Drosophila melanogaster: one gene and its partner. The protein of the gene in region 2 interacts with the protein of the main gene of each other region in a pairwise test. Each region holds a gene or a part of one and is shown on either strand. Other genes may lie near its edges.

Region 1 (6,510 bases), 2.2 Mb from region 2:
TCCAATTAGCGTGTAGTTCATACCTCCTATAGTGAGTTGTACAAATTCTAGCGAATCATCTCCTCAATTAAAAACTATCTGTGAAAATAGCTTAATATTGTCGCATCATCGCGGTGATAAGAACGGATGATCTTGTTTGTGAACCCCACATAACACATCATAATCATCAATCGCCTTATCAGTTACACATCTTTCGATTCAATTAATCCAATAATCCAATGATGACTTGCTTCTAATTGCAGACGAGTCACACGGCGGACATCAAGACATCCGTGCTCTTCTACTGCGGTAAGCCCGCCCTGGTGTCGATGGACTACCTGATCGCTGGCAACAAGTTGACCAGTGAGTTCCGTCTGTCCTACTATCCCCACGGGCTGAAACGATTCCAGGAGATTCTAGCCGAGATCTTCTCCGCCAAAGCCAAGCACCAGTTGTATGGTGACTTCAAGGAGATGAGCCAGGTGAAGAACCCCGCCTTCTACATTCACCTGATCGAAAAGCCACAGGTTTAGATTTAAGTTTTTAGTTGTATTCACATAAGGCCACAAGACACATCCATATAAATATACATAAAGTTCCTTCGATTCGCACAGTCTCGAGTCTCCTCAGTTTTCTTCTAAACCATTATGCAGAATCGACCCACGATGGAGCCAAAGCACAGGGTCACCATGGCGGCCTCGATCACGAACGGGAATTTGGCCTTCACGTAGTTGAACATCCCGGTGTAGATGTTCGACAGGGCAGCCAGTAGTATCAACGTCATCTCTCGTCCGCCGAACTTCGCTTTAGACTGTCACTAAAACGCAATAGCTATCGAAACCCTCAATTCTTGGGGCGAGTGTCATTAGCCTTGCAAATGCTTTTCCATTACGTTTTCAATGGGTTCTGCTTTGCAGAGAAAATGAGTAACGATCGAAATGCGATACTTTAAAAACCAAATACTAGAAAAATTTGTGGTATTCTAATAACAGTGGAGCTGAAAGTTGGAAAACTATGTTACAGCAGTACTACAATACTTTGTATTTCCGAATTATGATGTATGAAGTCTACTATTATTATTCATTATTTTATTCTTATTATTATTTTATTACTATTATTTTACTTTTTGAACTATAATCCGGAAAATGGGACAGTACGTCAAGAATAGATTTTACTGTAGTAGACTTTGTAGCACAATACCCATGGGTATCAAATGTTTTTGTGTCTTCATGAAGGATCGTCTAGCAGAAAACGCTGACGTATGCTCATTAAAGTGTCATCGAATACAAAAAACAGAAGCCAGCTAACGAAAATAGGACTTAATTGACATGTTTATTAAAAATACGTTTTAGTTCTACGCAACGGCTTTACTATCACGAAAACGTGGTGAAATCTTAAGAGCGTGCTTCCCAATCCGAATTTAGATGCCAACGATTTTATTAATGCGCTTGACGTCGGTGATCTGGCGATCGATCTCCCCGGTTAGCTGGGTAAGTATCTCGGTGATAGTGCGGTGCTGTTTCTCCGGCAGCTCGTACGCGTTCTTCTTGAGGTCCTCTTGACTCTGGGCAATGTGGTAGCGCTGCTTGTTAAACGTCTTCTTAGCAGTCTCCAGTCCAGCGGCCAGGCTCTGGGTGACCTTATTAAGTCGAATCACCTCCTGCGAAAACTCCCGTTCCGCAATCACACTATTGGGTAGTGAGGCATTGGCCCTCTGCATCAGAGCGTTGCACTTGCGGACGAGCAGCTCCTGGTTGTAGCTAATCTCCTCGAAGCGCTCGGCAAGCTTGTGGGCCCGCTCGCTGATCAGTTCGCGTTCCTGCTCCAGGTCTTGGATCTCCTGCAGCTGTTGTTCCTTCTTCAGCTGGATCTGGTTGATGTGGCGTGTAAATGCGGCGCGCACAAGGTCATGTCGTTTAAGGTACTGCTCACGAAGCACCTCGATTGCCTGGTTAAGCAGTTCGAAGCTCTCCTGGGCGGATGGCGAGGAAAGTTTATCCGCCAAGATGGGCTGGTTAACACTACGTTGCAAAAGCGATTTAATCGTATCGACAAACGGTGGCCCACTTTCCTGCTGAGACACTTCCGAGTCAACTGGCTTATTCTCATTAGGTGTAACCAACAGCTGGGCATCAATTACCAGCTTAAGGCTAATCACCTGACCGCTGCCCAGCAGTAGAACTATACCGGCAGGAATTTGTAATAGGGCAAGTCCAAAGACTGCGTTCACCGTCTCACTGGAATCGAATTTTGTGCACAGAATGTACTCTGCACTTGCAGAGACCGCCAGCTCTAGACGATCTTCATCGGACTCGCTTTCCAAGTAACGTTGCAGCTCTGCGATAAAGCTGACCGTAACGGCATGAAGTCCTGCGTTGTGGTAGGCAAAGTAGCGAAGCTCATTGATCAAATCCCGCTTTAAGTATATGGGACAGTTGCCTCCTTCTTTTCCAGTTGCGGGTGCAGATATTCCCAGCTCAAGTTCGACAGTTTCTAGTACATGTACAACGTATTCGGCGGGTTCAATCAACACAGAGTCGTCAACCTCATTGAAAGAATGCTCAGTGGCCTCCGCCTCCATAAGCAGAGCATGGTGAAGCTTTCCATTGGATTCAGCTATAACAATGGTCGGCGGAAGTGATGGGATAATCATTAGGGCACAGGACTCCAGTCCATAATTGTCATGTGCCTGTGGCGTTATGGTAACGGGGCCCTGCAGGCGCGTATTCTCCGAATCCACGCCGGTCATCAAAATGTAGATGTTTCCATTCTCGCGGAGCACAACCATGGGCCACTCTATCCTCTCCTGTTTCGGCAGCGATTTGGCCGCCACAAGGGTTTTGTTGCTCTTATCCAAAGTGGTTTCGTTATTGCCGGCTGTTTCTGGTTCAGTGACACGTGGTTTTGCAGCAGGAGCGATGTCAAAGTCAACGGCTAGCTCGCCAAAGTCGCATAGCGAGTTATTGGCCCCACTTCGAAGCACCGGGGGACCCACCTGCCACACGTGGCGCAACTTGGAGTGATTGTACACTCGAATCGTGTTGTTGTTGAGCAGCACGAGCAGCGTGGAGTCTGACACGGAGTGCGGATGCCAGCGGACCTGGCGCACTTCCAAGTGCGGGTTTTTTAGGAAAAGCTGAGTGTCCAGGCCGAACGTGCGGCAGGTGATCACTGGCTTGCCATCCTTGTAGTATCCATCGGGGCCCCAGCGGCGGGGCAGCTCCATTATGACAACGCCGCGCGGTCCACTTAGTGCCACGAGGGAGCCCTCGTTGGAGGCCAGCACGCGGTCCACCTCCAGGCTCACCAAGCTCGATGGAATCAGTGTCTGGAACTGGATATTCACCTTTGCCGCCAGCGATGAGCGCCAGTTGCGAACCAACAGACAGCTGTCCTTCGCGTGCCAGGCAAAGAGCAGATCGTCCTTGCAGTCCAGCAGGTTCTGAGTCCTTTGCACCACGGGCAACCCATTGCGAATCTTCGCGAACAACTCCGTTTTGTTCAATTCCAAGACATCGGTGAGCGACATCGTTTGTTTATGCTTCAATTCGTTGCCCGGCTTGTAAGTCAATGCTAGTGTGATAGTAGTCTTCGGAAATCCGCAAAGTATTTTTTTTTAGTATTTTTTTAATTCGAATTCATGAAACAAGAAATTTGTTAAAAAAACGCTAACACCAACATTTTCGGAAAATGTACTAATAATTATTGCTGCTTAAACTTTTCAACGAAAGACGTTAGCATAAATCATGCTATAAATTTAAAAAATGGAATAATTGATTAATAGTTAATAAAAGATTATAAAAGGTAGATGTTATTATTTTTTAATATTGGTATAATTCACAGAACCCATTAATTCAACAACTTTTAATAATCTATTTAAAATCACTAAGTGCTATAAACATTTAAGTTCTCTTTTGGAGCTCCAACAGTGGCACAGATTTCAACTTCATCGTAATATCTTCAACAAAGTATAGATTTTCGAAGGGAAAACTCGTTTTAAACCTATAATTCCGCAATAACTTGGCTAATGTAACTTTCGCCGATATTAAGGCATATCTCCAACCTAAACAGAAGGAAATAATAAGAATATAGCTAAAACAATGGTCATAAATTAGCGATCACTCTGTTACCTATGCAATTTCGAATGCCCTTGGTAAAAGGTATATAGGCGTACGGATGCTTGTCCTGGATGTTGTGGGGGAGGAAATGATCTGGGTTGAAGGTCTCCGCATCCGGACCCCAGATCTTTTTGCTTCTGTGCATGTGATAAATGTCGATGGCGATCTGGACCCCTTTGGGAACCACTATACCATTGGACAGCTTCAGATCCTGAGACGTTTGTCGGGATACGACAGGAACAGGGGGTATTACTCTCATGGATTCGTTGAGGATCAGGTCAAGGTACACCATCTGCTGGGTGTCCGCGTAGGATACATCAAAGTCTCCTGTGTTTGGGAATATCGTCTTTATTTCCTCAAAGGCCCTCTCCTGGTATTCCGGAAACATCGCCAGCAACATCAGGGTGTAGTACACTGCATTAGCCGTGGTCTCAAAAGCTCCAAAAACGATGATATTCGACTCATCCTCAACATTCTTCAGGGTAAACACTCCTCGTCTCATCAAATCCGTGACCAGATTTAGAAATAGGTTTTTATCATTGGACTGGATGGAAGGTAGTGCTCCCATTTCGTCCTCGGCCAACTTTCTCTCAATTATCTAAAGGGGTTAAGAGATTCGTAAGTGAATAAGCGGAGGGAGTAGTTGGAGGTGCTCACCTTCCGAATAAACTGACGAATCTCAGTTTTGGCCTGGTAGTAGTGCGATTCCTTTCCAGCCAGCTGCCGGCAAAATCGGCTATTGAGCCACGGAGAGAAGCACATATCTGTCATGGTTTCCAGGATGCTATTAATGGATAGATGCATTCCGATTCCAAGTCAAAACTCACCATTGGTATCGCCCCAGCAAGGAATTGCTCCTGAAGCTCTCTTCATCCTTTACATCGCTGCCCATGGTGGTTTCTGCTTTCATATAAGTATATCATATATTTAATATCAGATCGACTCTTCTAACTGAATTATGCATTCTGGCTTTCGACCACTTTGTATGCAAACAACAAACGTGATAGCCATAATTTATGAGTCTTTTTTTAAACAAACAACACATTCTTCTTTACTCACGGGTGGCAATTCCCAGGGTGAAGCTCTGCAGCAGTGGAATGAGATCCTTCTCGCCGTCATCCTGCAGTGGTTCGAGTTGATCGAGCAGAAGGGCCGTCTCCCGGTTGAAAATGGGCAGGAAGCTGAGTAGCACCTTGTGGCCGAAGGCGGGATTCAGCAGCTTCCGATGGATGCTCCAGCGGGGATCTACACAAATCCACACTTAAGTAACTCCCACACTCGATTCCATAGACACACACCCTTCAGGCTGAATAATCCAACTCCGGCGCCATCGTCCACTGCCTTGTAAATAATGCCCTTGTTGACGCAGTGGGGAGATGTGAAGATATCCTGCACCACTTGGGGATCACTCACAATCATAAAGGGAATGGGCCCCAGCCAGGAGAAAATTGTCGGACCGTGCTTGTCGAGAAAGCAGCCGAATGCGTTGAGGATATCTGCGCACGGACACTCAGATTATTACTCCCGACCAACACAACAAACATCACAACATCCAAAGCACCTTCCCTGCGCATCAGCCAGTGAGCCATGCCCAAAATGGGATATCCAAGTGGTCCCGGTATCTTTAGCGTTAGCAGATAAAATCTGCGCCTGCTCCACAGAAAGTAGATCCAGAGCAGGAACAGCAGTCCACACCACAGCGTCCAGGTCAGCATGCTTAATCCTTTGCCAATGTCCGCTATCCAATTGTAATAATCCGTGTGCCAACAATTTTCGACCGATCGGTTTGAAGTGCGCCAACAATTTGATTGGCCAATTCTCAGTCAATCGACTTTTTATAATCCGGACGTGTTGACTGCTTTGGGACTCGATCGATCGATTTGTTGTCACGCGTGGAGCCCAGCAATCGACCTGGTTGACTCTCCTCCTCCCAGGAGAGAAGAAGCCGTAGGGGCTACGGGTGGAGACCCATTGAACCGCAGATAGCGCGCCGTTTTTTTTTTATTGGGACTCGACGTGGGGGGTTGCGCATACAAATAGCTATAATTTTGACTAATGGCCAGTGGTGACATGCGCCACACGCTCCAAGAATGCGAATTGGCAAACGACGATGCACTACGTCACTGATCGATTTCGATCTGAAGGGGGTGGGGGCGGGGTGCCACTAATGGCGTTGTATAACCAATCGAATCTCAGGTGGCAAAGTGCGATGACACAAATATTTTATTAACGGTAGCGTACGGTCAATAACAATAATTAGAATAACAAGATGGGTAAGTTTTTTGAAGCTAGTTTTAATGGGCGACCAGGTCTAAATATAGGGCGCACTTGCTTTTCAAGTTAAAAACATAAACAGTGTGGAACGAGTTAACTTTCATTTAATGAGAAAGCTTTGAAATAGTCGAATTTTTCA
Region 2 (5,614 bases):
AGTAACGCTCTTCCAGGTGGAAGAGCTGCAGACACGCCTGTGCACACAACTTCACATCTTTTTGGCCAACTTGAAGATCTGGCCCAAAAAAAAAGTTTCGGCATAAAAAGTTTGCCAACCAAGCTGCTCCTCTATGACCAGACCAGAGTCGAAAAGACAAAACAACCTCACACCATTCAGCAGACTTAAGTTGAAACAGAAACTGGGTTGTGATTGTGCTGGTCGCTTCTATAAGTCTGCACTGAAAGAAACCAAGCATTGATCTAACAAGAATTTCCCTAATTTCCTGGTTAGTACAACTAGCATGTTTCATTTTAATAGTATGACTACAGTTTATAGAACTAGTTGAGCTCGCAGCACCCAAAAAGAGTTTCTTTCGATAGTTTACAGTGTACTGAAAGCATAAATATATCTTTTTTTCTGCACATTGAAGCTGAAACTTGGAGCCAAAGTTATTGCCAGGGAAAGTTTCCGCAGGTCGTCAAGAGAGTGCTCCAAAATGGTTGCCAAAAAACTGACTTTGCCAACATTCTTGAGCCTTCTTCGCCAGCCAGTTATGAAATATAAACCTGTCTCCTCCGGCAGCCGGCTAATGAGTCCAGAAATGGAAAGTAAAGGAAATGTATGTAAGCCCGGTTTCAAAGTGCACTTACGCTCCCATCTGCGTGCGTTCGAACCGTATTATTGTAAACAAATTTCCAGCTGCAATGTCGGTAAACCGGTTGCTCGAGTACGAAACCTGGAAACCTGACCTGCTGCAAAAGCTTGGCCAAAGAATGGATAAGAAAGTGAATTTCATTTGCCATCCCGGCAGCGCCAGCAAAGTCTATTTAAAAGTGCAGAGCAGCAAAATGGAAAATTAAGCACATCCTGTGCCAGTGGGCTGCTTCACATGAGGTAGTATACTTGATAAATAATAGCCAACATCCAGGGGGGCGTAGGTTTAATAATAACCCGAAGAAAAAAACAAAAAGTACTTTTTTGTATTTTTTGTTTCTACAAGCCTTAATACGGGCATCTAGCGCGTATTAAATGAAAACTCATTAACTACTTCTTAAGGTTTAAAGACTTGATCTCCTCTTCGGTGAGAATGGATTTCTTGAGCGCTGAAAGAACTTCAGGTGGCTGCTTGGAGAGCAGCTTCATCCGCTCAATAGCCACAAGCTCATCCTGGCGATTCTGTTGGTTGTAGACCTCCTGTACAATGTCAACCACCTCCTGGGCAGCGGCTTTCCTGTTATTCTTGGCCTCCACGACCATGTGGGCCATGTCCTGGTAGCATTGGACATCCAAGCGCCGGGTGTTCTCCCGCTGGGCCACTTGCATTCGATACTGTCGTTCGCCGAAGCACATGGGATCCTTGGGCATGACCAGGGCATCCTGCACACCCTTATCTCGGAAGAACTTCTGCTCTTCCCGCTGGCTGAGGAGCTGTTCGCGAATCTCCTGCTTCTTGGCCATTTTGGTTCTAGCCTGTTCCAAGGCCTTCGCGTTCTCCTTGGCCTTGTGCTCGCGGATTAGCAGACTGGTGATGACTTGATCTCGGGACTCCAGATCGTGCTTGATCTGGCTGAGCTGGAAGCCCAGCCGAGCGGCATTAATGTCCCTGGCCTCGATCTCATCAAGGCGTCGTTTCCGTGCCTTTGACACATAGGCCGCCGTAACGGGTCCCAGGGCATCAAGGAGTCCTCTCTCGGGCTTATTCTTTTGGGCCAGAGCGTAGGCCTCGCGGGTTTGCTTCAACATGGCTGCCGATTGGTCTAGGGATTCGAGGAGCACCTTGCGCTGCTGCGCCTTTGTAACTGCATCCTTTAGGATTCCCTGCTCCACTATCTCCTTGCATTCCTTTAGCTCTTGACGACCCTCGGCCACAGCTATTCGATGATCTTGTATCCGCTTGGTACGCCCCTCGGTAATCTGGGCCATTAGATCTCTACGAAACACGGCTGCCTTCTGAGCCCTTCTTTGCTTCTCCTCCTTCAGCTCCTTTTCCACGGCTCGCTGTTCCGCCAAAGCTTCGGCCCGCTCCCGCTGCTTATCTTCCACCGTTTGTTTGATATTGTTGGTGATCTTGTTCTTGACAGCCAACGCTGTGTGGGCACGGGCCACTTCCATCTCGAGATCCCTCAAATTTTCCACATTGCGATGAAGTTGAAGGCATCTACTGGCCTCCACCTGCTGGCGAGCCAGTTCCCTTGCTACACCGAGGGTGACATCCACATCGGTTTGCTCCTTCCGTTGGCGCGGATGCAGGTGACTGTTGAGCATGGCGGCCACTTCGTCCACCTGGTGTTTGACCATTCGGAACAATGAGCTCTCCGCGACAGACGACTGTGTAAGAATGCGGCACACATCCTTATCAGAAACACAGTCGTCCTCGCCCTTCGGCATTGGTTTGAACTCGGTCAGAAGATTCGGTACGGGCTCCTGGGAGGCGGTGGCAAAAATCGAGGCTCCCGGTTCATCCCAGACAATATGGCCAACGCGATCCGACTCCGGTTGGAGATTTTCCATCGTGGTTCAAGAAAACAAACCACTTCCTTTTAAAGAAATTACTTAGGAAAATTTAACTGGGAATGAAATATGTGATATGTCAAGGCGTTTTGAGTGGTATTAGTTCACTCAAAATGTTTTTTTTTTGTGCTAGTAACCTAACGAAATCTACTGACTAACTGAAGACTGCTAGAAAATTTTCAGATATTAAAAAACGACAGTTTTCAGCTGGATAAATAAGTTTAGAAAATAATATTCAGGTTAATTCAAATTACAAGTATGTTATGAAGAATTAAGTGAAACAGATAAGAGCTGGCTAATATTTTTAAGCTGCGAATATAAAGCCACTTTTCTTGATTTTCTGTCATTGACAGAATCTGTCAATTGCCCACGATTACAGAATGTTCCCTTTATATCGGTAAGTTAGCTTACCGTAATTGAAAGCCTGTCCTTCCGTAATTTCAAATTACTTCCTCTGTGAGATTCTGGAAAGGCATTGTAGCTTTATGCAACTACTTTTCCTGAAGCTCAGAAACATGCACTCTACTGTGGGCTGTCTGTGGAGGTCTGTGTGGACTTCCAGTGGATTAGCATATTTGAGTGGGTTCTGGGCCAAGAGGCCAAGAGATCTCTCTCTCTCTCTCACCTACTGCATGGCCGCATTGGGAGCCACAAGCTCGACGGGGGCCAACTTAATGGGGATATGTGCATCAAAGTAAGGCTCAAGTGCTTCCCTTGCGAGCGCGTTGTTGCCCCGACTATTGGCTATATATACCTTTGAATTTGCATACGAATTTGTATGGAAAATCACAACCGAGCTAAACGATTGAGTTTCTGAGCTCGAATGCATTGCACTCAATAGAAATAATATTTCTCCTGAATTTAAAACAGCTATTGAGCTAAAAAGGTATTTAAATAAAAGTCAATTATTTACAGAATACTGAGTATATTGGAAAATAAGATAAAACCAATTATAATTTGTTCACAATTGCAATCAAACATTTTCAACATACGTATATTTAGAATTATAAACTATGGTAGACGTTCTAGAGCGATCTGTCGAGGATTTTTATCGTCTGGCTTCCATAATTTATATATAGTTATCTAACTGCTGAGCGCTGGTTAAATGCTGCCCTGTCATCGCCGTCTTCATCATCATCGTAATCATTGGAGGCAGAAAAGAGCGGAGCTCTCCCAGACCATCAGTCACTGTCCACGACAGAAGCTCATTGGCGGAGTCTCTGTGGCAGGAGGGGATTGAGTTCGTGGCGGGGGGGCATGGGGAATGGGACATGAGTAGCTCCAGTAGCAGCTGCAGCTTCCGAAGGCACTTTCCTCGACGCATTTGTTGGCTGTCCATGGTTTTTGCCGACCAGGGTCCGGATAACCTTTCCATTTTACAACTGTCAACGGCGCAGCGAACGCGATTTGCCAGCGGTTTGTTTTATTTATTTGTTTTTTTTTTGTGCCCCCCCCCCCCCCCTTATTGCCATTTATATTTTCCTCCTGTTTTCCCCAGTGTCGTAATTACGCGTAAAGTTTTGTGCCTGCATTTGAAATTGTACGCAATTTTCCCCGAAAGTGTCAACGCATGTCGGGGCTTTAAAGTTTTGAAAAATGTTAATTTGTTGTCGTTGCTAATGCTGCATTGGGTTTTTCTCTTTTATTTTCCTTTAGCCGCCAATGCAGCTGCTGTTTGAGTTGAGTTCAGTTTTGTTTGTTTGTTGGTTGGTTGGCAATTCGAATCGAACGCGTCTGGCATTACATGACACTCATTATTGCACATTAAGTTGGATGGATGATGGAAAGTGGCGGTCCGACCCTATGAGACAGCAGAATCGCTGGACTGGGGGGGACAATAGAAAGCATTGTTGCTTACCTTAATTGATATAATAAGTATATCTGCCACTCGCACGGAAGTTCGGCATTAAGTCTTTAGCCAGGTCATCGTCAATTAATCAAACCATCTTCGGAGAGAAACTTGCCATGTCTGGTTCAACGAACTTTTCGCGGGGCTTTTCATTGGTATTTAACATTTATGTGTCTCGAATGTAAATGCTTAAAAAAAAGGAGAGGGTAGGGTTTTATTTAGATTTTAAATCAAGCTACATACTACCTACGTTAGGTTAGAAGTAGTGTCGAGATATTATTTCACCTGTAACATCCTTTGATATCTACTGATTTAGGGAACCCTTTTCAAGCGAAGGCAAGCCTTTCGCTATTTGTTGACCTGGAATGTCGGACAAGTGAGGAATGTACACAATGGCAAAGTGCTTGAATCGCCATGTACCGTGCATATATAGTGGTCATATAGGGTTTCTTGTATTCCACTGGGCAACCACATGAACGAAACTTTATCCCCTTGACCCTTTGGCCCCCGTGGCTAGTTCGAAGGCACTTGACTGCTGGATTTGTGCAGATGATTTTATTTTATTTATACACTTTAACTTTGAATCCATTTAATATTGAAATTTCTTCGTAACTTTAGACGGGACTATCAATAATTTCCGGAAAAAAGATGCAGGACGGCAGCAATACGGAAAAACTTTCAACTGCAAGTGGCAGACAGCTCAAGACAAAGTTTCAAGTGCAATTTTCATATAATTTCCATACAAACAAACAGACGGTTCACTTGGGGCACGACCTGAGGTCGCGTTTATGTTTTATTGAAAATGAAAATATCAATTTGCCTTTCAGGAATTTATTTGCTACTCATAGTTTCATGTTTTGGAGCTTCTTACAAAGCAGGAAAATTCTTATTAGGAAGTTGAAATGGAAATTTTTTGCACAGATGTTTCGTCTATTCAATGAATAAAAAATATCTATCTATTAATTCCATAAAAGGAACCATGAATAAATTGAAAATTCAGAAAATAATTTGTCTACGAAGACTAGGAAAACACTTAAACAAATCTATCAAATACATTTAGCTTATTGGTAGCCCGATGATAGATTTGTTAAGGAACAAAATCATTATGCAGGTCAGCAGATATTCCAGAGCACCTCATTTATTGTTAAATCTTGTTACTTCTTAAACCAGGAGAAGGCAATCCTCCGATTCATAAATTGTTGTGTGCTTTGTATGCTAACGTTATGCTTCTATGGATGTTTCTGGTTCAAG

What was found.
Region 1: the proteins of CG3610 (region 2) and mbo interact in a two-hybrid assay, tested with the Drosophila melanogaster proteins (one large-scale study listed by BioGRID).

Annotation. Positions count from the first base shown.
Region 1 is NT_033777.3:12,675,494-12,682,003, forward strand, and holds mbo (members only), read right to left. Parts: upstream 3,560-6,510; 5' UTR 3,509-3,559; coding exon 1,400-3,508; 3' UTR 994-1,399; downstream 1-993. Other genes in the region: Gnmt (glycine N-methyltransferase), read left to right, coding at 243-512; CG43630 (uncharacterized protein), read right to left, coding at 617-763; Cyp313a4 (cytochrome P450 313a4), read right to left, coding at 3,882-4,042, 4,110-4,695, 4,755-4,881, 4,925-4,997, 5,157-5,342, 5,396-5,593, 5,659-5,812.
Region 2 is NT_033777.3:14,842,107-14,847,720, reverse strand, and holds CG3610 (uncharacterized protein), read right to left. Parts: upstream 2,679-5,614; 5' UTR 2,515-2,678; coding exon 1,048-2,514; 3' UTR 984-1,047; downstream 1-983.